Linked DNA regions of Alligator mississippiensis. The protein of the gene in region 4 interacts with the protein of the main gene of each other region in a biochemical or structural test. Links are inferred from orthologs where the notes say so. Each region holds a gene or a part of one and is shown on either strand. Other genes may lie near its edges.

Region 1 (7,498 bases), on a different chromosome or scaffold from region 4:
GGGGTGGGACATGTTTCAGGCTGGTAATAACAAGCACCTTAAATGCAATTATCTCTGGGGTGGGGTGTTGTGGGCTGAATATACCAAGAACCCCCAAAGGCAGTTGGCTCTGAAGAGGAGCATAAGGGGCTGCATATAACAGGGACCTGACATGCAGCCATCTATGGGGTGAAGCATTAACAGCCCAGTATAACCAGCAGCTGAGATTCAGCCACCTGTGCAGTGGGGGTTCTGGGGCCTGGGTATAACAGGAACCTCCAAAGGCAGCGGTTTTGGGCTGGGGAGCATCAGGGGTAGCCAAGTATAAGAGAGTGCTGAGATGCAGGTGGCTCTGGAGTGGGTGGGGGGGTGCTGCAGAATGGATAACAGGGACAGCCAAAGACAGCTGTCTCCGAGGCAGACACTGGGTAAACCAATCCCCACTGTGGCTGGCTCTGGGGTGCAACATTAACAACCAAGTATAACAAGCAGCTGAAATACAGCCACCTCTGGGGTAAAGCAGCGACAGCCAAGTATAACAGAGAGCTGAGATGCAGCAGGCTCTGCAGTACAGGTGTTGCAGGGTATAACAGGGCCCCCCCCCAAAGGCAGCTGGCTCTGGGGGCAGCATCAGGGGCTGTGTAGAACAGAAACCTGAAATGCAAACAACCATGTCTGGGGTGAAACAATGACAACCCAGTATAACAGAAAGCCGAGATGCAGCTGGCTGGGGTGCAACATTAACAGCCAAATATAACAAACAACTGAAAGACAGCCACCTCTGGGGTGAGATGTTGACAGCACAGTATAACAGAGAGCTGACATGAAGCCACCTCTGGGCTGGGGCGTTACAGACTGGATATAACAGACCACCCCAAAGGCAGCCGGCTCTGGGGTGGATGCTGGGCTGACCCATGCCCAATGCACCCAGCTTTGGGGTGAAACAGCCCACACTCACCCCCTCGGAGATGAAGGTGCTGAAGCGTGGCAGCATCTGGTAGAGCCCAGGGTCTGTGGCGATGCTCTGCAGGGCCTCCTGGGGGAGCACAGTCAGGCTGGGGGTGGTCCTGGGCCCCGGGGACGGGGTCCAGGGATCCAGGGGGGAGCACTCACAGCACGCTTAGCCTCGCAGGAACCCACGCAGGCCTCTGTGATCTCCTTGTAGTAAAGCTGCTGCTCCACTGAGAGCTCGTGGATGCTGCGCGGCTTCAGGCGCAGTGCCGCGCCCTCCAGCAACCCTCCCTTCTTCTCTTTGCCTGGGGAGCAGGGGGCAGGGTCAGCCAGGCCTTGCCCATGCTGTGCCTCCCGTTCCCGGGTCCCTCGCACTGACCCTTGGCGTCGGGGGCGGCTGCGCTCTGGCCCTTGCCCTTCAGGGCCCCATCGTCGTCCTGCCCCGGCTTTGCGGCCTTCAGGGGCTCTGTGGCCTCGGTCTTCTGCTGTTCCTTGGGGGCTGTGGGGGAAGGGGGATTGGAAATCGGTGTGAGGCTGGCTCTGGGGTGGGATGTTGCCTGGGAGTAACAAATGCAGCTGGCTCTGGGATGAAACATTCTCTGGGTGTAATGGGTGCGGCTGGCTCTGGGGTGGGCACCAGGCTGGGTAGAATGAGGCCTGGATGCAGCCAACTCTGCGGTGGGCAGAATGGGGCCTGATGCAGCTGGCTCTGAGGCGGGATGTTGACTGAATAGAACAGGGCCTGTTAACCCCTTGTTAGCCACATCTGTGCATCTAGGTCAGTACAAGGCAGGTGGGGAGGGTATTGAGAAGTGGAAGGGGGGTTCTCCCAGATGCCTGGGTCCTTGACTCACCGGGGGGTGGGTTCTCAGGGATGGCCGGCTGGACGCCCTCGATGCTGAGCCAATGAGCTGCGGAGAGATGGACAAATGGATAGGGTCAGAGGAGCTCTAGGTCGGGGGGGCCAGGGGTTGGGGGCCAGGGCTCACCCTTGAGGCACACGTCCAGGGGCACGCGGGGCAGCGGTGTGTTGATGATGTCACTGAGCTCAACCTCGCGCTCGTCATAGAAGTAGAGCTCGCGCCCACCTCCACTGGCGAAGCGGAAAGGCAGGAACTCTTGTGCCTGGAACCCATACAGCGGCTGCAAGGCAGGGGCAGGGGTTGGGGGTCAGCTGGGGGCACCGAGCACCGCCCCCAGGGCACCCCCGTCAGCCCTGAGGCTGTCCCCCGGCACCTCCACGTTCTTGAGCTTGAGTGCATAGTCGATGTCGCTGGTTGTCAGCTTGCGGCGCCGCCCCATGTGCATGAACTTCACGGCGTCCTGGGGAGGTGCAGACAGGGGGGGTTAGGCACTCACAGGGCTGGAGGCAGCTGGCTCTGGGGTGTGGGGTGAGGTGTAAGGGGTGGGGGGGGGGAAGCAAAGGTACCTGTGCAATCTCCTTGAGACGGTAGCTGACCTCGTCAGCCAGCAGCTGTGCAGCCTCCTCAGGCACCTGCGCCAGCCCCATGGACTCGGCCACCACCTTCATGGAGTCACCAGGCAGCAGCGTCTGGCTCAGCTTTGGCTTCTTCTCCTCCGCCATCCTGCCGGGGGGGGGCACCTGGGGGGCACAGGGCCATGTTGGGGGGGTGCAGGGACCCCCAGAGCTGCCCTTGCCCGGGGGTTCCCCCACCCCTCGGGGATCCCCATCCTAGGGTGCCCCCCCCAGGTCCCCCCCACCCCACAGGAACCCCCTCCCACGTCACTCTCCTCCCTCCATAGGAACCCCCCCACATGATCCCACCCCCAGGGACTCCCCTCCCTCTATGGAAACCCCCCACGTCACCACCCTCCCCCCATGTGACCCTCACCCCCAGGAGCTGCCCCCCCACGCACAGGGCGCCCCCAAGCTCACGCGGGCGCCTCGCGCCCCGCCGCCGTCCTAGCCCCGCCCCCAGCGACTCGCCGCTCACTACCACCCTGCCAGGACTTGCAGCCACACTGCGCACGCACAAAGCAACTGTAGGAACCAAAACCTCACTACGCATGCGCCATCCTACCAGTTGAAGCCTCATCACTATCGCTGCGCATGCGTAATGCTCCATTTGTCACTCTCTACCCTACGTTCCTTGCCCGCAGTTCTCCGCATGCACTCTGCTTCACCCTTCTGTGGCTGAGAGTGCGCATGCTCGATGCCAGCTCCCTCTTAAAGGGGCCGCATTTTCCAGAGTTGCCATGGGGGCGCTGGGGCTCCCTCTGTTGGCGCTGTTGTTCGGGGCACGGGCGGGGGCGCCCACCCTGTGTGAAGGTAAAGAGGCGGGGCACTTAAAGGTGCCATATGCGGCTATAGGGACCAGGCAGCGGCTATAAGGGGCGGGGGACATATGCCAGGCTGTGGCAGCAGAGCAGGGGCCTCCACTGCATGCACAGGGAGGGGAGCTGCTGTGGTCCATACAGGTCTATAGGGCCTGGTAGGCGGGGCTGGGCAGTGTCACAGGCCACTGGGTCTGATACGAAAGTATGGACCTGGACTGGAGGGGAGGCCCCATAGGGTGCTAAAGGCAGTCCATATGGGGCTATACAGACCTGGGCAGGAGGAGAGGCCCCATAGGGCATTACAGATGGTCCATACGCCCTCTATGGCCTGGGCAGAGGGGGCAGAGCTGGAGGGCAGGCCCCGCGGGGTGGATGCCGGCCGGGCAGGGGTGCTGGCGAGGGTTCTGACCGCTGCCTTTCGCAGACTGCAAGTATCTGAGCCTGGAGCTGGAGGCAGTGCTGGCCAGCAGCGCCCGCTCTGCAGAGGTGCTGGACTCGGGTCGGTGTCCGCTACAGCGTCTTGCGAGTGCCATCGGGACGCCGGGGCTCCTCAGGGGTGAGCGCAACGGGAGCGCGGGCACCTGGGTTCCCTCCTGGCTCAGGGACAGGGGCCTTGGTGGGGGGAGGGGCAGGACCCTGAAAAGTTCCAGTGGGGTTCCCCCCCCCCTTCTAGGTCTGCCTCTCCCCAGCTCCTTGCCCCCTTTTTCTTTCTCCTGCCCCAGGAAGACGCATCTGGCCGAGGCGCTGGAGAGTGTCTGTGAGTGGCTGCTGCAATACAGCATCCACACCGAGTGCCCTGGGAGCCTGCGCTACGCTAAGGTCAGCCGGTTTCCCCCTTCTGCGAGGGCAGCGGGGCCTGGGTTCCCTCCCTGGCGCCTCAGACCTTCCCAACCCCTTCCCCAGGGCCAGAGCCAGAGCCAGACCATGAGCACCCTGCGCAACCTGGTGCACAAGGGGGTGAAGGTGGACCGGGGCGTCCCCCCCAGAGCTGTGGGATGAGCCCTCGGTGGAGGTCACTCAGCTGAAGCAGCAGGTCAGGCCTAGTGGGGGGCTGTGGGTTGGCAGTGGGGGCCCTGGCAGGGCTGGTGGGGCAGGGGCTGTGGGCCAGGAGTGGAGGCCCAGGGAGGGGGGCTCTTACAGCTTCTGTGAGCCCCCCCTGCAGTGCGAGGTGATGCTGGAGTGCTATGAGGAGCCGCTGGAGGACTGGTACTTCCAACACCAGAAGCGGCTGCTGAGGAAGTTCCTCTGCGAGGGCCATGTGCCGGGGGCCAGGGACGTGGGTAAACAACCCCCTGCCCTGCCGGACCCGCAGCCCCTGCCTGCCCTAGTGCTGGTGCTGGCTATGCCCCAGACTCAGCTGCATTGTGGGGGCTTGCCCCCGGCCTTCCTGCCTGTAGCCTGCTTGGACGAGGTCTGGACCAGGAGCAAAGGGGACCACGGGAACCAGGAGGAGGAGGAAGACACAGATGCCGCCCGCAGCATGACCCCAGCGAGCTCTGAGCAAGTGGGAGGAGGTTGTGCACTATTGGGGAGGGGGGGGGGCGGGGGCTATCTGCCCCCGCCCAGGTGCAGCACCAGCCCCTCCCCACGTGGAGGGAGCGAGTGGCACCACATTAAAGCCCATGTGTTTTAACCCCTTCGTGGCTGTGTTAGGGATGTCTAGGGTTGGGGGCAACAGGGCATTTCCAGGCCACACCCTAGCGGCGAGAGACAGCTCAGACCTCTTCTCCCAAATCCCCTCCCTCTTCCTTTAAGGAAAACGCAGGTCAGCCCCGCGAAAACCCCTGGGAAGCTTTTTATCCCTCGCCGCCGCCCGTTCATTGGCTGCTTCCAAAATGGCAGCCCCCACTACGTGAAGGCCGCCATTTCCAAGATGGCAGCACCCAGTGCGGGGTATAGAGGAGGCGCGCCTATAGGTCACTTCCGAGGAGGATGAGTGCCCCCCCCCCCGGACCGTACCTCTGGTGTGCGGGCTCCGCTGCTGGGCGAGACCATCGTGGCGGTAATTGTAGGGGGGGAGGGACAGACCATTAAAGGGACCCGTTAAGGGATGGAGGACCCCCGGGGTATTGGGTGAAACCATTCAGTGACGGGCGGGGGGGGTAAAGGAGTGAGACCATTGAAGCGGGGGAGCGGGGCAGGACTGTTCGGGGACACCCTAGGGGCGGTCCGGACCATGTAGGGGCTGCTTTGGGCGCCGGCAAGCTCACCCCTGCCCCCCCCCCCCATGGCACTCTTTGATCTCCAACCTAAGCAAGCTACATGACCCTTGAACTCTAATCTCCTGTGCTGTTACAGTCGCATACAGACACCTACGACCCTGTCACCTTGGACCTCCAGCGGCCTTGTCCCTTGAGCCCCTTCTACTCAAGCCTACTGGACGACAGCCCAGCTGTGACCTCTGCAGGCCTTGCCCCCATGAATCCACCTCGGGATCCTCTCTGATCTGCTGAGCCGGGAACCCTGACCTCCAGCTTCTGGAGGGGTCTCATCCATCTGCAGCCTTTGACCTCTGGGGCCTGCACCCTTGACTCCCCCACGCCTCCACCCTCCTTCCGTGACCCGCAGCCCCCCATGACCGACCCCGGGGCTGCACCCTCAGTGCGCACGGCGCTGCTGGGCACACGGCGGATCATGGGCAGCCCTTACACGGTGGTGGTGCTGCAGGAGGGCTACCACCAGCCCACGCCGGATGGTGGTGCGCGGGCTGACGGGACAGTGACGCTGCTGCGGGGACCGCTCCCCATGTTGGTGGACACAGGGGGCCCGTGGGGTCGCGAGCGGCTCCTGGCAGCGCTGGTGGGTGAGGGTCTGGCACCAGCTGACATCAAGCACGTGGTCTGCACCCATGGCCACTCAGACCATGCTGGCAACCTCAACCTCTTCCCTGCGGCCGAGCTGCTCGTGGGCTTCGACCGCAGCGCGCCAGGCGCTGACCAGTACCTGCCTGTGGGGCTGGTGGAGGGTCGGCCGCATGCCCTGGACCCTGGGCACGTGGAAGTGGTGGCCACACCGGGCCACGTGGCCGCCCACACCAGTGTGGTGGTGCGGGGCACAATGCTGGGCACTGTGGTGGTGGCTGGGGACCTGTTCGAGCGGCATGGGGATGAGGATTCCTGGCAAGGGCTGAGCGAGGACCCAGCGCGGCAGGAGCACAGCCGCCAGTGGGTGCTCGGCTTCGCCGATGTGGTGGTACCTGGACATGGTGCCCCCTTCCGTGTACTGCGGGGGGATGGGGGGGGTGCCAAAGAGCCTGGGGGGGCAGAGGGGTGATGGCAGAAGGACCCAGGCATCTGGGCCCCCAGCCCCTCTGCTCTCACCCCCCAGGTGTCTGAGCGGCAAATAAACACCATAGAATTGAGCTGTTCTGCCTCTCTTGGGGGGGGGGGGGGGGAGGGCTGCGGTGCAGCACTGAGGTGGGGGAGGGCTGTGGTCGGCAGCAGGGTCTCTGTGAGGGTACTGAGGGGAGGGGGTGGGTGGCGATGGGAGGGTCCCTCCCAGGCTGGGAATGGAGGAGCCAGAGTGGGGAGAGAACCCAGGCATCCGGGGCTGCTTCGGTGCCAAAAGGGCTGGGGGCCTCCAGGACTCCTGAGGGGGTTGGGGTTGACCTAGGGACACAGACACAAGCATGATAGTGAGGGCTAGGCCACACGCATGTGTCCTGGACCTGTGGGGCCCACATGTGTGTCTGTGCCACCAGGTTGGGGCATGTCCTGGACGCCTGCGTTCTGCATGTGCAGATAGCACCCCCCCACCCCCTGGGCCTGGGGGCAGGGTTCAAGGGGCTGCTCCACCCTGTAACCAGGACCTGAGCAGACCCAGATGCCTGGGTTCCACAGGAAACCCCTGGTCCCTGCCCCAATCGATCGAGCCAAGGCCTTGATGGCAGGTCACAGCTCAAGGCCACAGCACCTGGAGCTCCTAGACCCCGGACTCCTGGGTTCTCTGGGGTGGGAGGGGCTGAGGAGTGAGAGCAGGGGGCTGGAGACCTGGATGCCTGGGCTCTCTGGGAGCAGCTGGTGGGGGGGGTGCCCAGGCCCCAGCCCCTGGGTTGTCTGTGGGTGCCTCCTCCCTACCTGTTCCCCCTGGTCCACAAGTTGAACCCAGGGCTGTAGGGCAAAGGTGGCATTTATGGGGCCTTAGCCCTGAGAACAGAAAAGCTTGTTAAATAATCAGTGTCATAACTTGTGTTGTCTACCCCCCTTGCACCCCCCGCCAATCAGGAACCCAGGTATGTGGGGTCCCAGCCCCTGCCCCCCCAGGTATCTAG
Region 2 (7,546 bases), on a different chromosome or scaffold from region 4:
CCAGCTGACTAGCAAAGACAAGAGCTCTCCAAGGGGTTTTGCATCCCACTCTGGGTTAAATTCTAACTTACTTAATTGCAAAAAGCAGGTGCTTTGGGAAATCTGAGAAAGCCTTCACACCCCCAATTTAGGAAGAGCAGGGAACTCGGGTGTCCCAGGCTCTAGCAGTCAGGATCCTAGATCAGCAGTCCCAGCTTCCTGCGTGTCTAGCATCTGTGGCAGCCTGTTCAATTAGCAGCTCGTCCATAAACCACAACACCACTCCCATGATGTCCTCCAGGAACTTCTGCCCTAAAGCCAGCACCCAGAGAGGCTGTGTCCTTGGCTGATAACAGGTCTGATCATGCCTGCTCTAATTAAAAACAATCCTTGCAGGACCAGCAGGCGGGTGCTGCTGCCCTATTCACAAAGCAGAAGGTAATGCAAACACCTCCATTAAAGCTATTGAGTAGATGCTGCCCACAGAGACTAGATGCTCTAATGATGAACAAGTGAAAAGGTGACTATGTATTGAGATCTGTCAAATACGTTGGCCTCAACATGTAAATCATTAGTTGGGCAATTTTTTGCACGCATCAGATAACACATGGGGCTTGAAAAAGACGTCAGCTCACATAGAAAGGACATTCTCAATGTAGGAGCAGCAGAGATCAAGGCACAAAGATCACTTCAGTACCATATAGTTCACAGAAAAGGAGAAAAAGGAATCATGAAAGAGTCACTGAAGTCCAGTTCTGGCTTTGGTCTGCGATAATCTACAAATGTTAAGTTCCCACTGAAGGAAAAAAGGCCTCTCTCCCCCAGAGGACTATCTCCAGCAAATCAATTATAGCATTATCGTGTCATAATATCAGAATTTAACTGCATCCTGCTTCATTAATGCAAACCTAAGACTGATAATAAGGTTAACTGAACAACCATTATTTCTGCCACTTATTCCTGCTTATTGTAAAGCTTTTTTATATTAATGTTCCTAATTCCCGATTGACTATTTTCTACTGCTTTTTTGGTCTACATGCATCTTACCTTACGATATTGCTGCCGATTAAAAAATATTTTTCAAAACGCACAAAGAGCGTGCACCAGAGACGTGTCGATGCACCCGCTGAAACCTGCGCTTTGGCATGACTTTGTACTGATTTTAACAGTACAGTCTTACCGCTGCTCTTCAATCGCACTGAGCACTCAAACAGAAGTCATTTATTGGTTCGGCTTTGTCATTTAACGACTCGAGATGTCATTTAATAGTTCAGCTTTGTCATTTAATGACTCGAGATGTCATTTAATAGTTCAGCTTTGTGGTTTCTGCCAGGGTGAAGGGTTATTGCCCACAGCAAGGATGATTCCACGCCGTGGGCCAGACGGTTATACTGACCTTGGTTAAGTTATTCATATGAGCAGTGGCTACAGGATCTGACCTTTTTACTTCATAGATTTCAGACTTCATAGACATTAAGGCTGGAAGGGACCTCGGAAGATCATCGAGTCCAGCCCCCCACCCAAGGGGCAGGAAGTCAGCTGGGGTCATAGGATCCCAGCAAGATACTTGCCATTTTATGCCTCACGGTGTGCACGTGTGTGTGTGTGTGTGTGTGTGTGTGTACACATGCATTCTTGTGTCAGAGACTGCATCAAACCTACTTTAAAAAAGGTAATACCTGTATTTACACAGCAGCGAATAATAGATAGAAAAGGGGAAACGAGTCGTGGCCTTACCTTGATAAACTGCACTATTCCATCGGGGACGCCGGTCTTGCTCAGCTTCTGCAAATACTCCGTGATGTCGCTCGTCTGCAGACCGACACTGACAGCGGCATAAAGCGAGTACGCAGTCAGCTTGTACTCGTGTATGTGGCTTGGTCGACACACGGGTTCTGCGATAGCGACCAAAAAGTCCTGCGCGTATTTGTAAACGGGAGAAAAGGCTTCAAGGAAAATGTGGCCGTCGGGAGCCTGAGAGAGAAGACGAAAAAGATGCCAACTGGATAATGCTGCGGGTGAAAGACGGAGATCCCTTTCTATCCCGAGTACGAGCGGTTCGCGGTGCAACGGCAAGCGCTGCTCCATAGCTAGCAGCAAGGGCGGGCGAGGGTCAGACCAGCCGCGAAGAGCGCTCCACGCGGACGGACGCAAACCAAGGTTAAAAGCGAGACCACGTTCATCTTACCCGCTGACCGGTTCCACGTAACGCACCTCCCTTTGTAGAGAGCCTGTCGAACAGGACGGCTCTCCCCAACGCAGGGAATCAAGCGACTGCTTTTACGAACCCCAAATCATTCGCTCTCGACCCTCGCCTGGGAAGGAAAGCGCAGCCCCTCCCAGCGCGCCGCGCGACCTCCGTCAGCCCCTCGTTCAGGATGACCCAAACCACCCCCCGGTTTAAAAGCCGTTCGTAGAGTTACCCCGGACACGACACCGCGCCCCGCCGCCACAAAACAGGAGGAGGAAGCCGGCTGCCCGGCGGCGCTCACCACCCAGAGCGGGCGCGAGCCGTGGTCGCCCTTGAGCAGCATCTGCAGCCGGTAATCCTTCGCGCCGTACTCGTCTTTGACCACGGCCTCTTCCACCTGCTTCCCCGCCGCCGACGGGACGGCTTCCTGCGACTCCTTGCCGGGAGCGTCATCGTCCTCATCGTCCTCGTCGTCGTAGTGACGCTTCTTGGACTTCTTCCTGTCTGCAAGCAAAGGCCAGGAGGGTCAGGAGAGGCGCGGCAGGAGACACAGGGGTGTGCGTGCGCGCGCGCGCACGCAGACACAGACACAGCGCGACGGCACCCGCACGCGCCTCGCACCTCCGTCTCATTCAGACATGGGCACGTGCGCGTGCACTCTCACACACACGCAGGCACGCGCTTGTTCACACGCACACCCTTTCACACACATTGTCTTTGACGCGCGCACGCTGTCATTACACACTCACGCACCGCGCTCCCTGCGGCCCATGTCCGCCGCCCCTCAGCGCCCCGCCGCCATCGCGCCCCGCTCCTCCGGCGCGTCACTTCCGGGAGCCCCGGAAGGCGGAAGCGGCGCGCACCGCGCCTGCGCCGAAGGCGGCCCCGCCCCGCCCCGCCCCGTTCCCAGCGGCTGACGTCTCCTCGCTGGAATTACCGCATTCTTGCACGCGACGCGCACGTGGAAACGGGAGTGCGCGCTCTGTGCAAGAAATACGATACGAGCTGTTTCTGCGCCTGGGAGGGGGTCCCGTCCAATCAGGAGAGCTGCGGGGGGGGCTGGCCGGCACCGGTGAGGTTTCAGCAGGCACTTGAGCAGCGCAGAAATGGAAAACCCCCCGTCCCACATCCTTGCAGACCCTGCTGCGACGCCCTGCGCCGTGGGTGCAGCCGGGACCTGGCACCTCCAGTTGACAAACCCCCCAACGCATCAGGGATGCTGGTTTGCAAACAGCTCGTTGCGCGAAGGGAAGGGGGTCACGCCTGCCGCGAGTCTGGCTTCGTCCCGCCAGAAGAGCGTTGCTTCCTGCCTCGCGAACGGGGCGCGCCTGTGTTGTACACATGCAAACACAGCCCCCGCCGCGCTGACTTCACGGGTGACAGCTCAGAAAAGGCTCCCGCGTCCTGCGCAGCCCCTTTCCGCTCCCCTCCTTGGGACGGCGGCGCGGCGCGGCGCGGCCCAGGACAAGACGTGGTGAAAAATTGGTTTTCTTGAAAAACCGTCACCCAATAAAGGAAGGGGAGTCTACTGGAAAGAAGTATTGTTTTACGAACGCTCGGAGTGCCGTTATCCGTCGTCGTTCGGCGGTTTGTTCAGTCGCATCCCCCAAACCACAGCCCCGGGACCTTTCTGAAATGAATGGAGGTGGAAGGAAGAAAAAGCCATCTTCCCTCGTGCTAATTCCTGCAGGTCTCCACGCGCCGTCAGCCGCGACGAGGCTGCGCCCCCACAACACACGGATCTCAGATAGTCACTGGTCAAACAAAATGGAAACGTGGCTTCCTTGACATGAGGTACAAAACCTCCCAAACAAAATAAAATGGGTAAATACATAGGAATTAAAAAAACAAAAAAAAGTTTATACATTTTTACAAGCACAAATTTGAGATCATAACCAAGTCAAAATGTGCATGAAATGTGGAAGAAACCACATCGTACCAGGCAATTCAGAGCCCCTTTCTCTGATGGATTCAGCACTTTTTATTACAAAAATTCATACAAAAGAAATCACAGTTGTCCATCCAAGGGGTACCTGAAAATACAATACAACAACGTGTGTCCACTCTTGGAAATACAAATACATTCTGAATGGTTAAAAACAAAATTAAAAAAATAGTTTCTGATCATCAGCCAGCTGAAAATATACTTATCTAGTAAATTATCTTTCAAAGCTTTTATGTATTTAATACAGGCTGGGGAGTTCCCCTCTTGAAAGCACAGAGGGATCTCGGAGTCATTACTGACTCCAAGATGAACATGAGCCGCCAATGCCAGACCGCAGCCAGCAAGGCCAGCCAGACCTTGTCATGCATCCAAAGGTGCATCTCAAGCCGGTCCAGAGAGGTGATGCTCCCCCTCTATGCGACACTGGTCAGGCCGCAGCTGAGTACTGCGTCCAGTTCTGGGCGCCGCACTTCAGGAGGGATGTGGACAGCATGGAGAGGGTTCAGAGGAGGCCACCTGCATGATCAGGGGCAGCAGGACAGGCCCTACGAGGAGAGATGGAGGGACCTGGACCTGTTCAGCCTCCACAAGAGGAAGCTAAGGGGGGACCTGGTGGCTGCCTACAAACTCATCAGGGGGATCAACAGCAAATAGGCAGAGCCCTTTTCTCCCCAGCACCACCTGGGGTGACGAGGAACAGTGGTCACAAGCTGATGGAGGATAGGTTTAGGTTGGAGAGCAGAAAGCAATATTTTACAGTTAGGGTGGCCAAAATCTGGAACCAACTTCCCAGGGAAGTGGTCCTCGCCCCTACCTTGGGCAAATTCAAGAGGAGGTTGGACGATCACCTGTCTGGGGTCTTGTGAACCCAGCGTTCATTCCTGCCTGTGGCAGGGGGTCAGGCTAGGTGATCTGGTCAGGTCCCTCCTGACCCTAGCTACTATGAAACTATAATTATACCAGCTAAACATAGTATCTTAAAAAACAAGTTCATAAATACTTTTCCAACTACTGGTCTAACAAAAGATCCACTGGCTGTGGAGCGTGTAGATGACGGCAGGCTGCCGCTGCCGGCTGAGACCAATATCAGCACTTGAGTCTGTTTGGTGCATCCTGCGCCGAGTGCCAGGAAGGGCCGAGTACCGGTGCTGGCCTCAGCCAGCAGCAGCAGCCTGCCGTCATCCTGCACACAGATCCAGAGACCCGCGTCCCTCCAGAAAGATGCGGGGGCTGTCAGACTCTTGCGGGGGGGAAGGCGAGACCCCGAATCCGCGTGCGGGATGACAGCAGGCTGCCACTGCCAACAACTGATACTAGTTTTGATTTGAACAGTTTGAGGTGCAGTTTCACAAAAAAACCCTGCACCTACCTCCCTTCATGCCCTCAGAAGGGGCTAGCATCCCTGCGATTTTCATCTGAATCAGACAAGAAATGACAAGGTTACAGGCATGTTCGTGATTCCCCATTATAGCCTATGGCCAAAACACCCTTGAAACTCCACAACTGATTCAGCTGAGCCGAAACGAGACAGTGATCCAAAACACCGAAATGAATCACTGTCCCTCCGAAACGCCAAAATCAAAACGAAACATAACCCTTTCACACAGGCCTGGTGGGGATCTGTAATACGACCACATCAGTACACGGTAGAAATAAAACGGTTCTGGTCCTGGTAGGGGGGAAAAGATCCTTCTTCTAAATGCAGGCGGTCCTTGGACTTAGGACAAAATTGGTTCCTGAAAACCACGTTTTAAGTCGAAACATTGCAACTCAGAACCAATTTTCTCACAAGAAACAATGTTATAAATGGGGGATTGGTTCCTGAACCCAGGCCTGATGCCCTATCTTACCCAAAAATACCCCAGAATTATGTACTCAATCAATTATAGATGAGTAATATAGCTACATTAAATGTACTTATATTGTAAATAGCAATCGTATTGATCTGGAAGGACTTCTTTGAGGTGACTTTGCTGGACTTTTTGAAGGGCTCTTGCCTGGAGTCTTCTCAGAAGTCTTGGCAGCAGGTTTTTCTACTCTTGTCTGCTTTCTTAGAAAATAAATGCAGTAGATGCAAGCTGGGCTGAGGCAGGCTGTCAGTGATAATGTGCAAATGTGTGCCTTAGCAGTTCATCTGCAGATGGTCGCAGCTTGGCCTCAATAAAAATCCACTTCAGGAAATCCTGAGCGTGGTGCGAGACGTCATGTGGCAGCTGTGGGTTTGTTGGCTCGGTGCCAATTTTAAATATGGCAGCCATTGCTTCAAACTCTGCCCACGGGGGTTTCTCAGTGAGCATTTCTACCACGGTACAACCTACGCTCCTGAAACAGAAGCAAATGTGAAACAGCAGGTTACAACAGGCTCCGACTTTTCTGCAGCAGTAAGAATTACCACGTGGCAACTACTGCAGACCGCTGTCCACTTCCCGCTGCACTGCGATTCCAACGGAAGTACACCGATCCCCCGTTCTTGTGCACAAGCGCACACAACACATAGAAGATCACAGCAGATATTCTGCTCCACCTGCCAACTAACTCAACAACCATCATCTCAGCAGAGGGTGTTGATCTAGACAGCAGGCTGCCGTCTTACTTTCCAGTAAGGGGTAGAGACGGAATTAAATCTGAATTTCAGGGGCAGTTTCAGCGTCTAGTGTCAGTGCCACTAGCTCAGACTCAGAGTTTGGCTAGGTGGTAGGAGCACTACGCAGCCCAAGAACTCTGCCTCTGAAGACCTGCTGAACACCCTGGGGTGGGACCAAAAGAATTGAATGTCATGGTTCTTGACCCAGAGAAGACTAGTTAGGACATATACATCAGATTGGTTTGTCTGAATTGAAAGTGTCCTTGCTGCTTTGTTTCTTTTAACAGTATATTATTTAACACTACAGCATTCAACGTGCCAATGCTTACTGCAGTGTATTAAAAAGCTCTTTAACGCTGAACATTATATATGCAAAACACATTCCAGTAGGCAGTGACCCTCCCCGCTTAGCTAAGGGCAAAGGACTTCTGTGGCGACGAGGTCATTATCAGAGATTGCAAGAAAGGGTAGACCTTCAAAATCAACTGCTTAATTTTACGCAAAGGCTGATTTCTAAACTCTGTAGTACAGGAGAGCTATCTGTATATGCAAGGCAACTCTTTTCTACAAGCCCCGGAAGCTAACTCTTTGTTATAAGTATCTGAATAACAATGCAAAATGGAGGAGTTTGAGTTAAGAAATCGTACTTCACTGCGTATTCCGTATCCCCTGGGGAGGAATAGGGTTTATATAATCATTTCACACGTTAGCATTTTTGAGTATCAGCAAACCATAGAGAAATCTACTTGCTACTAGGTCAGTGTTATTTAAAAAAATAGTAAGGATCAAAATGCATCAAACTGCTCTGGATGCTGCAACTACTTAGAAAAAAAAAAGCTTAGGTATA
Region 3 (7,786 bases), about 160 Mb from region 4:
GAACCATCTTTCAGCTGAACCCTGAAGGATTAGGAAAAAGGAATCCTAGGAAATGTAAGGCTTGCTTCTGTAGGGGCAAGGAGCTTTGAGGCCATTGTTAGGAAATTAAAATTTCATTGTGTGCCCCCCAAGTTCTAGTATTGTGAAAGACAATAAATAGTAAGTTCCTATTTACTTTCTCCATGCTGTTCATGGTTTTATAGACCTTTATCACCACCCGCTCAGTCATCTTTTCTCTGTCTTGCCTGTTTAGTCTCTCTTTAGTCTCTCCTTATGCAGAAGCTTCTCTAAGCTACTGATCATCCTTCCTGTCCTTTTCTGTATGTACCTTTCTACTTCTAGGATATCCTTTTGGAGGCAGGGGTACCAGAATAGCATGCAGTATTCACGAATGTGGGCATACCAGAGATTTCTACAGTGACATTTTTTGGTTTGTTTTGGATCCGTTCCTTAATAATTCCCAACATTCTTCTGCTTGCCTTTTTGACTGGGCTGTTTTCAGAGAACTATCCACAGTAATTCCAAGATCTCTTTCCTAAGTATTAACAGCTAATATAGAGCCCCTCATCCTGTATGTGCATCTCAGGTTATTTTTCCCCAGGTGCATCACTTTGCACTTATCAGCATTGATGTCCGTGGCTCTAGGGAAGCATGAAGCAGTTGTAATCAAGGGCAAACCTCCGACTGACTTCACTAGGACAACACCAGGCCTTAAATGTCTAGATGACAGTGCTGTTATTCTTCAGCCAATAGCTCGCACCTATAATTGACAAAGGAAAGCCCTTCTCAGCTGCTTACTACAGTGCAATCATGATTGCACTCAGCTGAGTGAATAAAAAAAGTTCAGTAAAAGAGTCTGTAATTTAAAACCTTGTAGTTTATTTCTCTTGACTTAACAACAGTTTTCACACAACAAGATAAAAAATAGAAACTAACATTCAGCTTCAGCTCTCAGCTACTGGCCTCTGAGATTCTTCCTCCATGGAACTGAATATTGGAATGGAAAACAGAACGTTAGGAGTTTAAATTAGGAATTAATGACAATTCTTCTTACCTTGTTGCCCCTTTTAATTTAGTTTCCATGGAAACAGGACTGGAAAGGCTGCCTGTAGCAAGTCACTAAGAGGAAAAAAAGTCTGCCTTGTCTCTTTTAGCTCTCAAGTACCAGCTGAGCCAGTGAAATTACTAGATTTTTAAATGTTTTCCTTTTTTTTTTTTAACTCTGACTAAGAGTCATGATTTCTTGCTGGACAAGTCTCAGGTTGGACAATTATGTTGGCTACAAGTGTATTTCAGTGATTCAGATTTATATTCCTCTTTTCTAATTAGTAGTTTTATGGTGTATGGCCTGCGGGCCAAATCTGGCGCATGGAGAAATTTATTTAGCCCATAGGGCTGGGCAGCTTTGGTGTCATTTTGATGGTGAGGGTCTTTGCCAGGGTGGTGTGGAGAAGCAGCAGCAGCAGCACCACCACCACATGGGGAATGGGACTGTAGCTATGGTTGTGTGGACTGAGTCAGAAGCCGCTCAAGCTTGGAGTTAAGTTTGGTTAAGATGTCCCCCTGCTGCCAACGTTCCTGACCCCTGGTGTAAGCAACATTTATTAGAATTAATGGCACAAGGTTATCTAAAATTTTATGTGTGTTGAAAAAAATATATCCATCCCCTTTTTTATTTTTTAGGTAGGGACAGGCTTGGTTTGAGTATATGGACTGAGCTAAAACTGTAAGTAAGGAGAACCGGCTCCACCATTCATTCATTTATGTAGTCTTGGAAAATCATATTGGGCTCCAATCTTGCAAGGTACAAGCTCCTCTTACAAACACCTTACTAGTTATAAATTGCTTGTTGTATCACAGTCCCTGATGTTCTGTTCTCTCCTTTAAAATGGAGGAGTCTATCGGGCCAATCCTGCACGATACAGAGCTCTGTTTGAGTGCTGAACACCCTTGATTCTCATTGGCTTTATACAGAAGCATCCACACAAAGGTTTAGACCAGAATAAGTCAAATAGTAAAATACAAATTAGTTCCAGTTTTCAGGTGAATAAATACTTGAAGTCACTTGCAGAATTGTAATGTTTGGGCACCATACTCTGCAGGGACTATTTCTTTGGTAAATACACTTGTCACATTTTGTCTTAATTCAGGGAAACATCTCTCTCATGTTCCAGTGAAAACTTCTAGTAATCGAATCTAAATTTGGGGCTAAAACTGAAAGGGCAGTGCAAGCTTCATTCTAGTCACTTGGCCAGATTGTGTAGACACATGCAGTGATAATGTTACGGTGGTGCACTAGTTCCAGCCCAAGTTCCAGACAGTATGAGAGAACCAGGATTTGTTCTGTAATAGCCTTGATTGTGCCAACTGTATAGTTGGGAGAGATGGTATGTATGCTTTTGGGCACAATATGCCCTTCCTCAAATCATAGGCATTTTGTGCCTTAGAGTTTATCTCGTACTTCTCCTAACTCCCTGGTGCTCAACCTCTGGCCAGATAAGGCCCACAGATACGTTGTTAGGCCTGGCTGCCCTGTGGCCCCCTGCCTGATCTGTCACTTGGATTTTGGATGCCCTGCTCTGACCTGTGGGTCTCTTAATGGTTCCAGAAATTTGGCAGGGAGAGTGTGGTGGCAGCATTAATCGCTGCTTCCCTGTCTCCATTCCTGGAGCTGTAGGGGAGTCCTGTGGTCCAGATAGCGGGGCCCAGTGTATCGGTGCATGGGGGTCACTCTGTGGCTGGATCTGGAGTGTGAAGTCGCTGTCATGCCAGGCAATGGGCAGCCAGGTCTGAGGGTCACCTCAGGCTCAGGAAAAGCCAGAAACTAGATCTGTCCAGGGAACGGAGCTGGGGATCCAGAGAGTCAGGCAGAGCACAAGGACAGGAAGCTAGCTGGGTCAGATGCCTGGGAGGTCAGGCCAGACTTGGGTCTGGTATTGGGGAAGCCAGGAAGAGAGCAAGGGCATGAAGCCGGTTAGGCATCCAGGAGTTCAGGCCAGAGCAGACTAGACTAGACTATCCCCTAGATCAGGGTTGTCAACCAGGGATATGCATACCCCCAGGGGTACCTGAGATGGCCCTAGGGGGTATACATGGGCATGCGGAGATGGAGCACTGCCATGCACCATCCTGCACTGCCTTGCAGGCACCACTTGCCTGGCGACACATGGGGGACAGAGGAAGCTCGCATGTGACGGCTACTGCCGCTCTGTGTCCGGCCGTGCGCCACCCCCACCCCCCTGCTTCCTGTCCAGCTGTGTGCCACCCCCCCCGCCCCACCCCTTGTCCAGCCTCACACCTCCACACCCCACCCATCTCCACACCCAGCCGCCAGGGTACACTGTGGGGCTGTGCGAAGCTTCGGGCGCTGATTCAATTCGGAGGAGATTCGGCTCGATTCAGCAGCCAAATCTCCAAATCCAAACTGAATCCCCCATCCCCAGCCTGCTCCCCCAGCCCTCCTGACCCCTGCCTGCTCCCCCAGCCCCCCCATGGCTTCCCTGCCTGCCCCAGCTCCTGGCCCTTTAAAGAAAAGCCCTAGTGCTCACGGGGTGCTGCCGGGCAAAGGGGCAATCCCCGCTGCCCCCCACTGCCCCACTCTGTATGGGGGGCCGTGCCATGAGCCCCCCCCCAACCCTCCCCGCTCCCCCAGCCCCGCCATGGACACCCCACCAGGCACAGCTCCAGCCCATTAAGAAAAAAAAATGAGAAAAGTCCTGGGACTCTCCGCTCCTACAACGGCCTCTGGGCTTTGGAGGGCTTGTGGAAGAGCCCCCCACGTGGCACGGGGTGCAGTGGGGATCACCCCCCTGCCCAACAGCACCCACTGAGTTGGGGCTTTTTTGTTTCAAGTGCCAGGAGCTGGGGCAGGTGGAGCAGCCATTGCTGGGCTGGGAGAGTGGGCGGCGGATGGGCCTGGCTGATTTAGAGATTCGGCCGAATAGATTCAGGGCAGCGATTTGAATTACCAAATCGAATCACTGTCCCCCAAATTGGCCGAATCCAAATCCGAAGCAAATACTAGCCGCTTTCTTTGCATAGGCCTAGTACACTGCTTGATGTCCAGCCACCAGGGCTACACTGATCAAAACCACTGAAAACCCCTGCCTTAGATCAATGGTTCTCAACCTTTTTTTGTACCAGGACCTATTTGTAAACATTGATGGCCAGTCCTGACCCTGTGCCCCTCACTCCCAACCCACTGCCCCCCCCCAACCCCAGCCCCCCCAGTGTGTGGGGAAGGGGGGCCCCAAGCAGTCCCTTGCAGGCTGGAGCTCTGCCAGCCTGCAAGGGGAAACCCTGCTTCCCAGGCTTTTCTCCTTTCAAAGACAATCCATTTTTAAAGTTTGTTCACAGCCTTCATATATTCTTGCGACCCACTTCGAGGTCATGACTCAGGGGTTGACTGTTCTCACTCGTGACAGGTGACAGAACGAGGGGCAATGGTCTTAAATTGCAGCAAGGGAGGTTTAGGTTGGATATTAGGAAAAACTTGTCTGCCTGTGTCCTTGTCCCAACACCAGAGCCCATCGCCGTGCGGAACAGTGGCTCACAGGGAAAGGGCAGCCCATTCTAGCGGAGCAGAGCAAAGGCCGCCCTCATCCCCTGTGCGGCTTCTGGGTGGGGGCTGGGGGCGGGGCATCAGGACGCACAAGTCCCCTGGCCCCGCCCCGTCTTACGTCACGGCGCCCCCCTGCAGTCACGGCCGGGGAATCCCCGGGAGACTCCTTCCCCCACCCCTCCCCGCTCCACTTTGCTGCAGGCACGGAAAGTTTGGCCGGCGCGGGCCGCCGTAGTCCGGTGAAGTTCCTTCCGGGGTTGCAGACAGCAGCCCTCGCGCGCGTGCGCAGCAGCGGCGGCGGCGTCTCGAGTTTGTCCCGCGCGTCCCCTGCCCCCCCCAGTCGCCGCCGCCATGAGCGACAAGGGGGAGCTGGACCTGACCGGGGCCAAGCAGAACACGGGCATGTGGCTGGTCAAGGTGAGAACCAGCGGGGGCTCTCAGGGCCACTGCGATCCCGGTTCCGGTCCCTGTCCCTGCCCCTGCCCCATCAGCCGCTCGACTTTCGGCTGCCCTGCCTGCTCCCCCTTCCCTCCCCTTTTCCCGATCGGCTGCTCGGCTTTCTCCGCTGGGCTTTTGCCTGGTCTTCTTTGGCCCAATCCGTGCCTCCCGCTGACCCATCGACCGCTCGGCTTTCGGCTGCTTTGTCCTGCCCTGCGTCCCCCGCCCGATCCGCTGCTCTGTCCCTGCCTCGTGTTCCCCTTCCCTGATCTGTTGCTCGACTTTCGGCTGTTCTGCCCTGGCGGTCCCCCAGTCCCGTCTCGTTCCCCCCCTCCCCCTCCCCGCGATCAGACACTCAGTTTTCGGCTACTCTGCCTTGCCCTGTGTCCTCCTGTCTGGATCCTGGTTTTCTCTGATTGAAAAAACAATCCCCATTTTTTGGATTTAAAGTAACCCAAAATCCACTTTTTTCCCTGATTAGCATGAACCATCACTATGTTTGTGTGTGCATATAAATAAAGGTATAGAAATATCCAGAGAGAGAGAGAGAGATCCATATAGATATATGGATATAAGTGATGCTTCATTTTAATTATGAAAAAATGTGGATTTTTTTGTGTTACATTTTTAATTCCAAAAATTGGGGATTTGTTTTAAATCGGAGAAAACGAGGATCCCTGCTGATCAGCCACTTGGCTTTCAGTGCGCTGCCTGGCACCCCCTGCCCCCTCCCCTGATCTGCCTGTGTCCTTTGTGTTGCACCCCCACCACCCGCTTTGATGGTGCTGAGCTATGGTAGATGTGCTGCAGCCTTGTAATCTTAAAACTTTTTTTAGGCAAGTCAACCTTAGGGAGCTCGTCATTTTTACCAGTGCTGTTTTACACAGGCTAGAACAGCGTTTCTCAACCCATGGGTTGCGACTCAGAAGTGGATCTCAATAATATATGAAAGGGTCATGGGCACACTTTAAAAATAGATACTTCTTTAAAGGAGAAAAACATGGCAAATGGTGGCTTTTCTGTTGCAGGCTGGCAATTTCCTCAAATATCACCTCCTGCTCCACACACTGTGGGGCTGGGACCTGGAGACAGAGGTAGTGGGCCGATAGTGAGGGGCCCTGGGCTGGGACTGGCCATTGATATGTGTTTAAAAATGAGTCCTGCTACAAAAAAGGCTGAGAACCACCTGGCTAGAAGGTGGCATGATGGTCAAAACACACAAGTCCTGTTACATTTTCTACTATTGCTGAATTGGATGTGAATTACAGAGCTAGCATTTGCTAAAATCGAGGAACTGTAGCAGTGAGCACCTGGCTTTGTCTTAGGTGTGCTTAGTGTTTGAACTGTATATGAAACTCGGAGGGAAGACTTCTGTAACTAATTTCCCCCACATAAGAATCACAAAGTTAGATGGTATCTAATGATGTTTTGGCAAACACCTGTCACACTAAGCTAAAAGAGTCTCTGGAAATAAGACAATGCTTTCATAGTTGGTAGGTCTGGAAGGGACCTGAGCAGATCATCAAGTCTGACCCCCTGCTATGGGCGGGAAAGGATCCTGGAGTCAAATGACCCCAGCAAGGTGTCTAGCCTCCTTTTAAAGACCCCCAGGTTAGAAGCAAGCACCACTTCCATTGGAAGTTGGTTCCACATTGTAGCTGTCCTGACTGTGAAGTTGTGCCTCCTGATATCTAGCCTGAATCTACTCTCTGTCAACTTATGGCTGTTATTCCTTGTTACTCCCAGTAATGCTCAGGGGAACAGGGACTCTCCCATTGCCTGCTGGTCTCCCTTGGCCAGTTTATAGATGGCCACCAGATCTCCTCTCAGCCTTCTCTTGTGGAGGCTGAACAGGTTCAGGTCTCGTAGCCTCTCCTCATAGGGCCTGCCCTGCTGCACCCCGATCATGTGAGTGGCCTTCCTCTGGACCCTCTTGATGCTGTCCATATCCCTCCTGAAGTGCGGCGCCCAGAACTTAACGCAGTACTCCAACTGTGGCCTGACCAATGTCATATAGAGGAGGAGGATCACCTCCTTGGACCTGGTCGTGATATATCTGTGGATGCATGACAAGGCGCAGTTAGGCTTCCTGACTGCATCCCTACATTGGCAACCCATGTTCATCTTGGAGTCTATAGTGACTTCAAGATCCTTCTCTGCCTCTGTGCTGACAAGAAGGGAATTCCCCAGCATGTAGGTATGCTGTTGGTTCTTTCTCCCTAGGTGCAGTACCCTGCACTTGGGATTCAATACTGACATCTTATTCCGATCTGCCCACCTCTGCAACCTGTTCAGATCCAGTTGCAGCCTGTCCCTCCCTTCTAGCGTGCCCTCTTCTTCCCACATCTTAGTGTCATCTGCAAATTTGAACAAGGTGCTTTTCACCCCCTTGTCCAAGTTGCTGATGAAGATGTTGAACAGTGCGGGCCCAAGGACTGAGCCCCGGGGTACCCCATTGCCCACATCCCTCCATGTCGAAAATGACCTATCCACCACCACTCTCTGGGTGCGGCCTTCCAGCCAATTGGTGACCCATTTGACTGTGTAGGCATCAACATCACAATCTCCTAATTTTTTAACAAGAATGGGGTGAGAGACAGTGTCGAACGCCTTCCTAAAGTCCAGAAATACTACGTCCACCATGACACCTGCATCCAAGGATTTTGTGACCTGGTCATAGAAGGCCACCAGGTTGGTCTGACAGGACCTGCCTCTAATGAACCCATGTTGGTTGCCCCTAAGCATACACTCCCCTGCTTGCCTCTCGCAGATGTACACCTGGATAAT
Region 4 (7,068 bases):
AGCAGGGCGGCCGGGGGTGGGGGGAGGAATGGAACAGGAGAGGACGGGACGGGACACTGTGGCTTGGAAGTGAGAGCATAGGGTAGGGTGGCTTTTGGGTTGGCTGTGGGGCACTGGCAGCACCAAAGGGTCACGGGTTGAGTGTGAAGAGCACTGGCATGACCAGGAGGGTGGGGGAGGGAATTGTGGGTCAGCAGCAAGGTTGGGGGCTGTAGGTCAGGATTGAGGGGTACTGGCAGGGCCAGGGGGCAGTGGATGGGGAGTGAGGTGTCCCCCTGACAGGTGTCCTCTTTTTTGGAACTGGACATATGGTAACCCAGGGGTCAGCAACCCCTGGCACTTATGCCAAGCATGGCACACCACAGCCAGCCCCAGCTCCGGCCCAGGCTGCTCCCAGCAGGGCTGCAGCATCCCAGCTGCCTGCTGCGAGCAGCCCAGTCTCCCGACTGGCAGCAGCTCCCCACAGCCGTGCCGGGCTCTGGCATCAGCTTTGCACTGGCGCGTGCACCCACGCGTCGGAGTGGGCGGTGGGAGGGGCCTGAGGCAGTGCAGCCCCAGTCTCTCCCCCACTCTCGGCACGGAGCTTGACACAGCTGTTTGTAGCCAGCCCAGGCTCTGGGCGGCTGCAGCAAGCAGGCTGCAAACAGCTACGCCAGGCTCTACAGCTCTGGCATCAGCTCTGTGCTGGTGGTGACTACACATGCACCTCAGGGCAGACAGCGGGGCAGTGCAGCCCACCCCGAGATCTGCATGCAGTCACTGCCAGCACGGAGCTAATGCCGGAGCTGTAGAGCACGGCGCAGCTGTTTGCAGCCTGCCTGCTGCTTGCTGCAGCTGCCCAGAGCCCAGGCTGGCTACAAACAGTTGCGCAGAGCTCTGGAACCCTGCTATTACCTCTGTGCCGGGAGCGGGAGACCAGGGCTGAGCTGCCTCAGGCTCCTCCCCCATCGCCCACTCTGACATGCAGGTGCAAGTGCTGGTGTGGAGCTGATGCCAAAGCCTGGCACAAGCTGTTTGGAGCCTCCCGGGTCTGGGGAGCTGCTGTCAGTCAGGAGCCCAGGCTGCTCCCAGCAGACATCTGGGACACTGCAAGCCCTGCTGGGAGCAGCCCGGGCTCCAGCAGCTACCCAGAGCCAGGGTAGCTGCTGGCAGCCACAGAGCCCAGGCTGGGGGGCAAGGGGCAGCAGGGCTGGGGGGGCAGGGGCTTTGGGTGAGGGGGGCAAGGGGCACAACCAGGGCATCCTGCCATGTACCCCTTACCCTCATTTTGTTTTTCTGCCATGCCAGCACGCCGGCACCTTCCGAGGTAGGCATTGTGGTGTTTTTCAGTACTCCGGCCAAAAAACATTGCCTACCCCTGTGACAACCCTAGCCCTGCTTTGAGCAGGGAGTTGGACTAGATGACCTCCTGAGGTCCCTTCCAACCCCTATTTCCTATGATGCTACAAGTAGTACGTAAGAAGGCAGATGTTGAGGGATATTTTCAAGGGAACCTGGACACGCAAGGCAGAGATGCACACTCACTGCTGACAAAGCCAAGCCAAGCCAAGCCACAACTAGCCAAGAGATCCTTATGCAGCAATTACAGACATTTGACCCTAAATGGTCTACATCTCCTCCACACAAACGCACAGGGATGGAAGGCCAGAGCTTGCCTCAGACCACCAAGAGGGATCCCAAGAGGCCTCAGACCTTGACAACCCAGGAGCAAGCATGCCTGTGTATTCTCTGCTGTAGGTAACTGCTCTTGATTGTTTAGGTTAGATCAGTGTTTCTCGACCTGTGGGTGACGATCCAAAAGTGGGCTGCAAGAATATATGAAAGGGTTGCAAACAAACTTTAAAAACGGATCAACAAACTTTTAAAACGGAGACAAATGTAGGAAACGCTGGGTTTTCCCTTGCAGGCTGTCAGATATCCAGCCTGCGAGGAGCTGCTTGGGGCCCCCCATTGCCCTACACACTGGGGAGCTTGGGCCTGGGGGCACTGGGTCAGGACTGGCCATCAATGTTTACAAATGGGTGCTGGTACAAAAAAGGTTGAAAACCGCTGGGTTAGATATTAGGCAGACAACAGAACAAGGAGCAATGGTCTCAAGTTGCAGCAAGGGAAGTTCAGGTTAGCTATTAGGAAGAATTTTCTCAGTAGGACGGTGGCAAAGCGCTGGAACAGGTTCCCCATAGAGGTGGTAGAAGCTCCATCCTTAGAAGTTTTTAAGACCCAGCTCGACAAAGCCTTGGCTGGGATGATCTAGTTAGGGCTGGTCCTGCTTTGAGCAGGACTTTGGACTAGATGACCTACTGAAGTCCCTTCCAGCCCACATGGTTTAACTATGACCTACTGTCTATGACCAGAAGGACAATATCCCCATGCACCCGCAGCCAGTGCAGGAGGACTGCCCTTGGCTCCTCTCGCGCCCCCTGCTGCATAAGATAAAAGCCTCCAGGATTGCCCTAGCTGCAAGGCTGGACCTGAGGCTCCTTCCCGGTTTCTGTGCAGGGAGCAGCAGCACCCCAGGGCAACGGTGGCCCAGACGAGCAGTGCTGGCACAGAGCAGAGTGCGTGGGGGCGGGGGCCAGGCAGATGCCCAACTACTCCGCGCCGCCTCGGCCCCTCTCCCCACAGCTGCCAACGGACACGCTCCCCTCCGCCCCCCACTGGCTCCTCAGCTGCCCCCCTCGAGCGGCTGGGGAGACGGGCCCGAGGGACACCACCCCGCGCCCACGTGGGCGGTCCGTGCGGCCCGCCGGGGAGGCCCATGCGCCAGGCACGTGATGCCGGACCCGGACCTCGACCCCGCCGCTGCCCGGCGGGAGGGGCAAGCTCCGGGTGCGCCTGCGCAGTAGCTGGCAGGAGGCCGGGAGCGGAGAGCCTGGCGCCGCGCGCGCGGGACTGACCTGCCGGCTCCGGGTGGTGCTTGGCGCCCCCCGTCTCCGGCAATGCACGTCACAAATTCCTAGCCGCGCACGCGGGCGGTGTCGCACGGCTGTGACGCAAGCGCCTATTCGGCACGCCAACGGTAGAGGGAGAGGTCCGCCCACCCGCCATCCTGGGTGGACAGGAGGAGGGAACCAATCGCTATCTGTGATAGCCACCTTTGATCCCGCCCCCTCCCCGCCTCGGCGAATGGAAAGCGGAAGAGGCGGAGCCAATGGGTGGAGAGTTAGCTCGCAATTGGGCGGCGTGCTGAGTGGCTGTTGCTAGGCAGGCTAAGATGGCTGCTTTGGACAGGGTCAAGGTGCTGGTGCTGGGGGATTCCGGTGAGTAGTTGGGGGGGGAGTTCCCGTTATCACCCTAGGCCTGCGCAGGTACCGGACCCTTCTCCCCCGCGCCGGGCATTGGTGGCGGGGGAGGGGGGCGCAGTGACGCACACGGTGACGTGAGCAGGGGGCGGAGCTGGTGTAGAACCCATAGCTGCGATTCACGCTCGGGGCGTAGATGCGGGGGCGGGGCGCTGGGCGAGGGGCGCTCTAGGTGGCTCTGGGCCTCTTTGTGGACCTCCCCCCCGGGGGGGGGGGGGGGCGGGCTCTAGTTAGCTCAGCCTCGTTCGGGAACCCATCCCCCATGCTCTGGAGGACTGGGCCTATGCAAGACTGACGAAGTCTGTGGGCCATAGGTTGCCGACCTCTCCTTTGGGGCACCAGGGAGTGAAGTCATTTTCCTGCGGCCTGAGAAGCATGGCATGACAAGCACGTGGACATGTTCTTCTAAACCCAGGCCACTGTCAAACTCCTGGAGAGCCCAGCAACAGCCAGGCCTGCTCCACACGTGCAACAGAAACGGCACTTCTGTGAGTGCTCTGAGCAATGACCAGAGATGAACAATGACCCCACGTGCATATTTAGGGCTGTGTGTGTGTTTGTACACTCACCTGTTTGTCACAAGAACTCCCATTGGAGCCACATCCCCGTTGAGGGCTTCCAGTGACCAGCGATACAAGTTTTGAGAGGACTTTTTGTTGGTTAAGTCATGCACTAAAATGATACCTAAATGGAGAGTTAAAAAAGACAGGATATAACTTGACATTTCCCTAACCTTTGTATTTGATCCAGAAGCTCTGGTATTAAGAGACAGTTTGGTATGAAACATTAGGAGAAGGGATCTGTTGTGTACTTCTTTAAGGAGCTTAAATGCTAGAAATGATAGCATTTCTACTTAAACATGATCCAAAGCAGGAGCGTAGTAGAATCTAGTTTTCGCCCTCTTCTGTCTTGCAGTTTAAAACAACCTCTGTGTATTCCTTTTTTTCCCAAAATTGAGCGAGACCTGAATGCTGTCATTTTCCTGGGAGGCCTTGAGCCTGGGAAGGTTGAGGGCCATGGCTTTAGATACTTCAGGGGTAACCTGTCACCATCTCCTCCTCTCAGCAAAACAGCTCCTTGAAGGGGCTTGCCCTCATCTTGCCACTCTTCTCTCGTTTAGTCCTTGCCAGCCCACTTACTTCTTTAGTTGTCTTGCATGGTCCTTGCAATTCAGCTGTGCTTTTCTTCCTGTGTAGTGCCCCAAACTAGATGCAGCAGTCATAACGGTGGATAAGCCATGTTTCAACTTAATAAGACATACAACCTAAATGGTGGAGGACGCAAGTAGCAGAGAGCGATGGGAAAACCCCTAGTCACACCTTGTTCACTCTCCCTTTCAGCCTCCCCTCTGCCTATGTGACAAAGGTCTATTTGCTGCCTTAGAAGATACATGGGGCATTTCCCACCAAATAAACTATTAGCCTCCCTTAAACGTAGAGTCTACTGGAAAGGCAGCACCTAATTGCTTGGGACAACTAAAGACAACAGGAATGAGAGTGGTCAAAGGTTAATAACTAGTGTGGCAAGGGGGGACACTGAGCAGAGCATACCGGACAATACCCATTGGCCCTCAGACAAGTCCAAGGAGCCAGTGGGCACTGCCTAGTGATATTCTGCCTGGAGATGGGATTGCACTAGGGACAGGAAAGTCACTCTGCCATCCCTGCTGTGTAACAAGCTTACTTGTTGCCTAGGGAACATGGGGCAGTACCCTCAAAGAAACACTGTAAGCGTCCCTTAGAGAGGAAGGCCAGTAGGTAGGCAACAACTGTTTTTTGGGGACAACTAAAGACATAACAGGGATAGGAGTGAGATCAAAGGTTTAAAGCTAGTGTGCCAAAGAGGGACACCCAGCAGAGCACACCAGACAGTGCCCACTGGCCTTCAAACAAGTCCAAGGCTCCAGTGGACAGTACCCAGCGATACTCTGCCTGGAGATGAGATTGGACCAGGGACAGGAAAGAGGCTCTGCAGTCCTTGCTGTGTAACACAGGATACTGGGCAAGATAGATGTATGGGCTGACCAGTAAATGATAGTTCTTATGTTCTGTAAATGATGGGCCTCATACAACCCTTCCAACTAAAGTCAGCATGCTGTTAGCTCTTTTTGTATTTCTCACATACCCATCATCAGTACCTTCTTTAAGGCAATTGCATGCTGGAACATTCATTTAAATGTTGGGTTTAATAGTATCGCTTGAACCCACTAATTATTGTAGTGCCATTTTTTGGTATGTTAGTAACGGCATACCAAAAAGTTAGGGGTGCATCGATAGAGATTTCTGGGTCCGATACCAATATCCAATTTTTAAGGAGGCATATCAGCCAATACCAATTAGATTTCCTATACGGTGTAGAGAGTTGCCTCCGGCTGGTAAGTCTGTTGTGGTGGAAGGGGAGCAGGGGAGGGAAGGGGCGTGGGGGGTGCAGATCAATGCCCATGGTGAGGGAGGGGGCAGGGGCAGCCTCTGCCCAGCTGGGACAGGGCATGGGGCAGAGCCATGGCTTGTTGGGGGGGTGCTCCCACTGCTGTGTGCACCCTGGGAGGGCACGGAGGGGTGGAGCCTGTGCCCCCTGGGTCTGCATGGGGCAGGGCAGATGGACTGCACCTGCGGGCAGGAGTTGAGGCTGTTCTGGGCTCTTCTCACCGAGGGCTGGGCTTGGGTTGGGAGCTATGGAGGGGGCTACAGCCACCCCAAATTTCGCTTTAGCCCCCTCCCAGTGCCACCGCACACCTGGTGCAGCCCCGGCCCTTCCCAGCACATGGGTGGAGGCTGGGCATTGAGCCAGGGCTGTGCCAGGTGTGTGGTGGTGGCAGAACACCCGCCCCCCCCCCCCCCCCCCAATGCCCCTTCCACCACAAGAAACTTACCAGCTGGAGGCAGCTCTCCATGCTGCTGCGCTGTGCTCCTTGTTGCCTGAGTGCTGCGCTGCAGCTACACACACACATTGGCATTTATCGACCAAATTATCAGCTGCATCGGGCCGATTTCCGATACAGCCAATTTTCTTTATATCGGTACCAATCCGATATCGGACCAATATATCTGTGCACCCCTACAAAAAATATGGTGTTAATGGCAAATGTAAGGATCTGTGTTGTCTATCATGCAAATTAAATATATGTTTGCTTTCAGGTGTTGGGAAATCTTCACTTGTTCATCTGTTGTGCCAAAATCAGGTGTTGGGAAATCCATCTTGGACTGTGGGCTGCTCAGTGGATGTGCGAGTAAGTGAACTTCTGGACTTGCAGTGTTGTTCCTGTTGTTATTTCTGATGTTGTGGTCACTGCTTTCTGGGTCACAAGTTTAAATCTGATTCAGAACTAGTTTGGGCCTTCACTTTTCAGATGTCTATAATTAAGTTTTGAGTGGTCTTTTGAATGATATTTTTAAATACCAAAGTCTTGGGTATTTTTCATGAATATTAAATGACCACTGGTGTTTTCTTAAAGAATAGCTTAATTTAGCTAACATCCTTAGGTAAAATTTCCTCTTCTTTCATTTATCTGTGATGAGCTGACAGACCCTCTCCACCCCAAAGTCAGGTTCATTTCATTGCTGTTAAACTTTAGAATCCTTTGGGGGAAAAGTGCTAAGAAAAAAATATTATTACTCTAGACTGAATATTTTTACTTACACAAATTAAGCTTTACAATGTCACCAGCTACAGAAGCCAAGATACATCTGTCTTTCAAAGCATCACAGCACAGTGACAGTTAATATATACTCACTAGGATATTATCCTTATTACTTTTTGGTAAGTG

Evidence for each region.
Region 1: the proteins of GTF2E1 (region 4) and TAF6 form a complex in vitro, tested with the Homo sapiens proteins (2 studies listed by BioGRID). The link is inferred for Alligator mississippiensis from reciprocal best matches to the Homo sapiens genes GTF2E1 and TAF6.
Region 2: the proteins of GTF2E1 (region 4) and ERCC3 form a complex in vitro, tested with the Homo sapiens proteins (2 studies listed by BioGRID). The link is inferred for Alligator mississippiensis from reciprocal best matches to the Homo sapiens genes GTF2E1 and ERCC3.
Region 3: the proteins of GTF2E1 (region 4) and GTF2F2 form a complex in vitro, tested with the Homo sapiens proteins (2 studies listed by BioGRID). The link is inferred for Alligator mississippiensis from reciprocal best matches to the Homo sapiens genes GTF2E1 and GTF2F2.

The regions. Positions count from the first base shown.
Region 1 is NC_081838.1:23,522,710-23,530,207, reverse strand, and holds the start of TAF6 (transcription initiation factor TFIID subunit 6), read right to left. Parts: upstream 3,018-7,498; coding exon 2,784-3,017; intron 2,534-2,783; coding exon 2,360-2,533; intron 2,254-2,359; coding exon 2,167-2,253; intron 2,074-2,166; coding exon 1,920-2,073; intron 1,842-1,919; coding exon 1,785-1,841; intron 1,430-1,784; coding exon 1,310-1,429; intron 1,236-1,309; coding exon 1,093-1,235; intron 1,016-1,092; coding exon 938-1,015; intron 1-937. Other genes in the region: MBLAC1 (metallo-beta-lactamase domain-containing protein 1), read left to right, coding at 5,803-6,027. UniProt on the Homo sapiens protein: The TFIID basal transcription factor complex plays a major role in the initiation of RNA polymerase II (Pol II)-dependent transcription.
Region 2 is NC_081827.1:252,041,161-252,048,706, forward strand, and holds the start of ERCC3 (general transcription and DNA repair factor IIH helicase subunit XPB), read right to left. Parts: upstream 3,004-7,546; 5' UTR 2,943-3,003; coding exon 2,924-2,942; intron 2,675-2,923; coding exon 2,403-2,674; intron 1,954-2,402; coding exon 1,717-1,953; intron 1-1,716. Other genes in the region: uncharacterized protein LOC132250420, read right to left, coding at 6,212-6,437. UniProt on the Homo sapiens protein: ATP-dependent 3'-5' DNA helicase/translocase. Binds dsDNA rather than ssDNA, unzipping it in a translocase rather than classical helicase activity. Component of the general transcription and DNA repair factor IIH (TFIIH) core complex.
Region 3 is NC_081824.1:410,989,517-410,997,302, forward strand, and holds the start of GTF2F2 (general transcription factor IIF subunit 2), read left to right. Parts: upstream 1-4,775; 5' UTR 4,776-4,912; coding exon 4,913-4,978; intron 4,979-7,786. UniProt on the Homo sapiens protein: TFIIF is a general transcription initiation factor that binds to RNA polymerase II and helps to recruit it to the initiation complex in collaboration with TFIIB.
Region 4 is NC_081824.1:253,467,897-253,474,964, reverse strand, and holds the start of GTF2E1 (general transcription factor IIE subunit 1), read right to left. Parts: upstream 3,016-7,068; 5' UTR 2,898-3,015; intron 1-2,897. Other genes in the region: RABL3 (rab-like protein 3), read left to right, coding at 3,215-3,260, 6,440-6,531.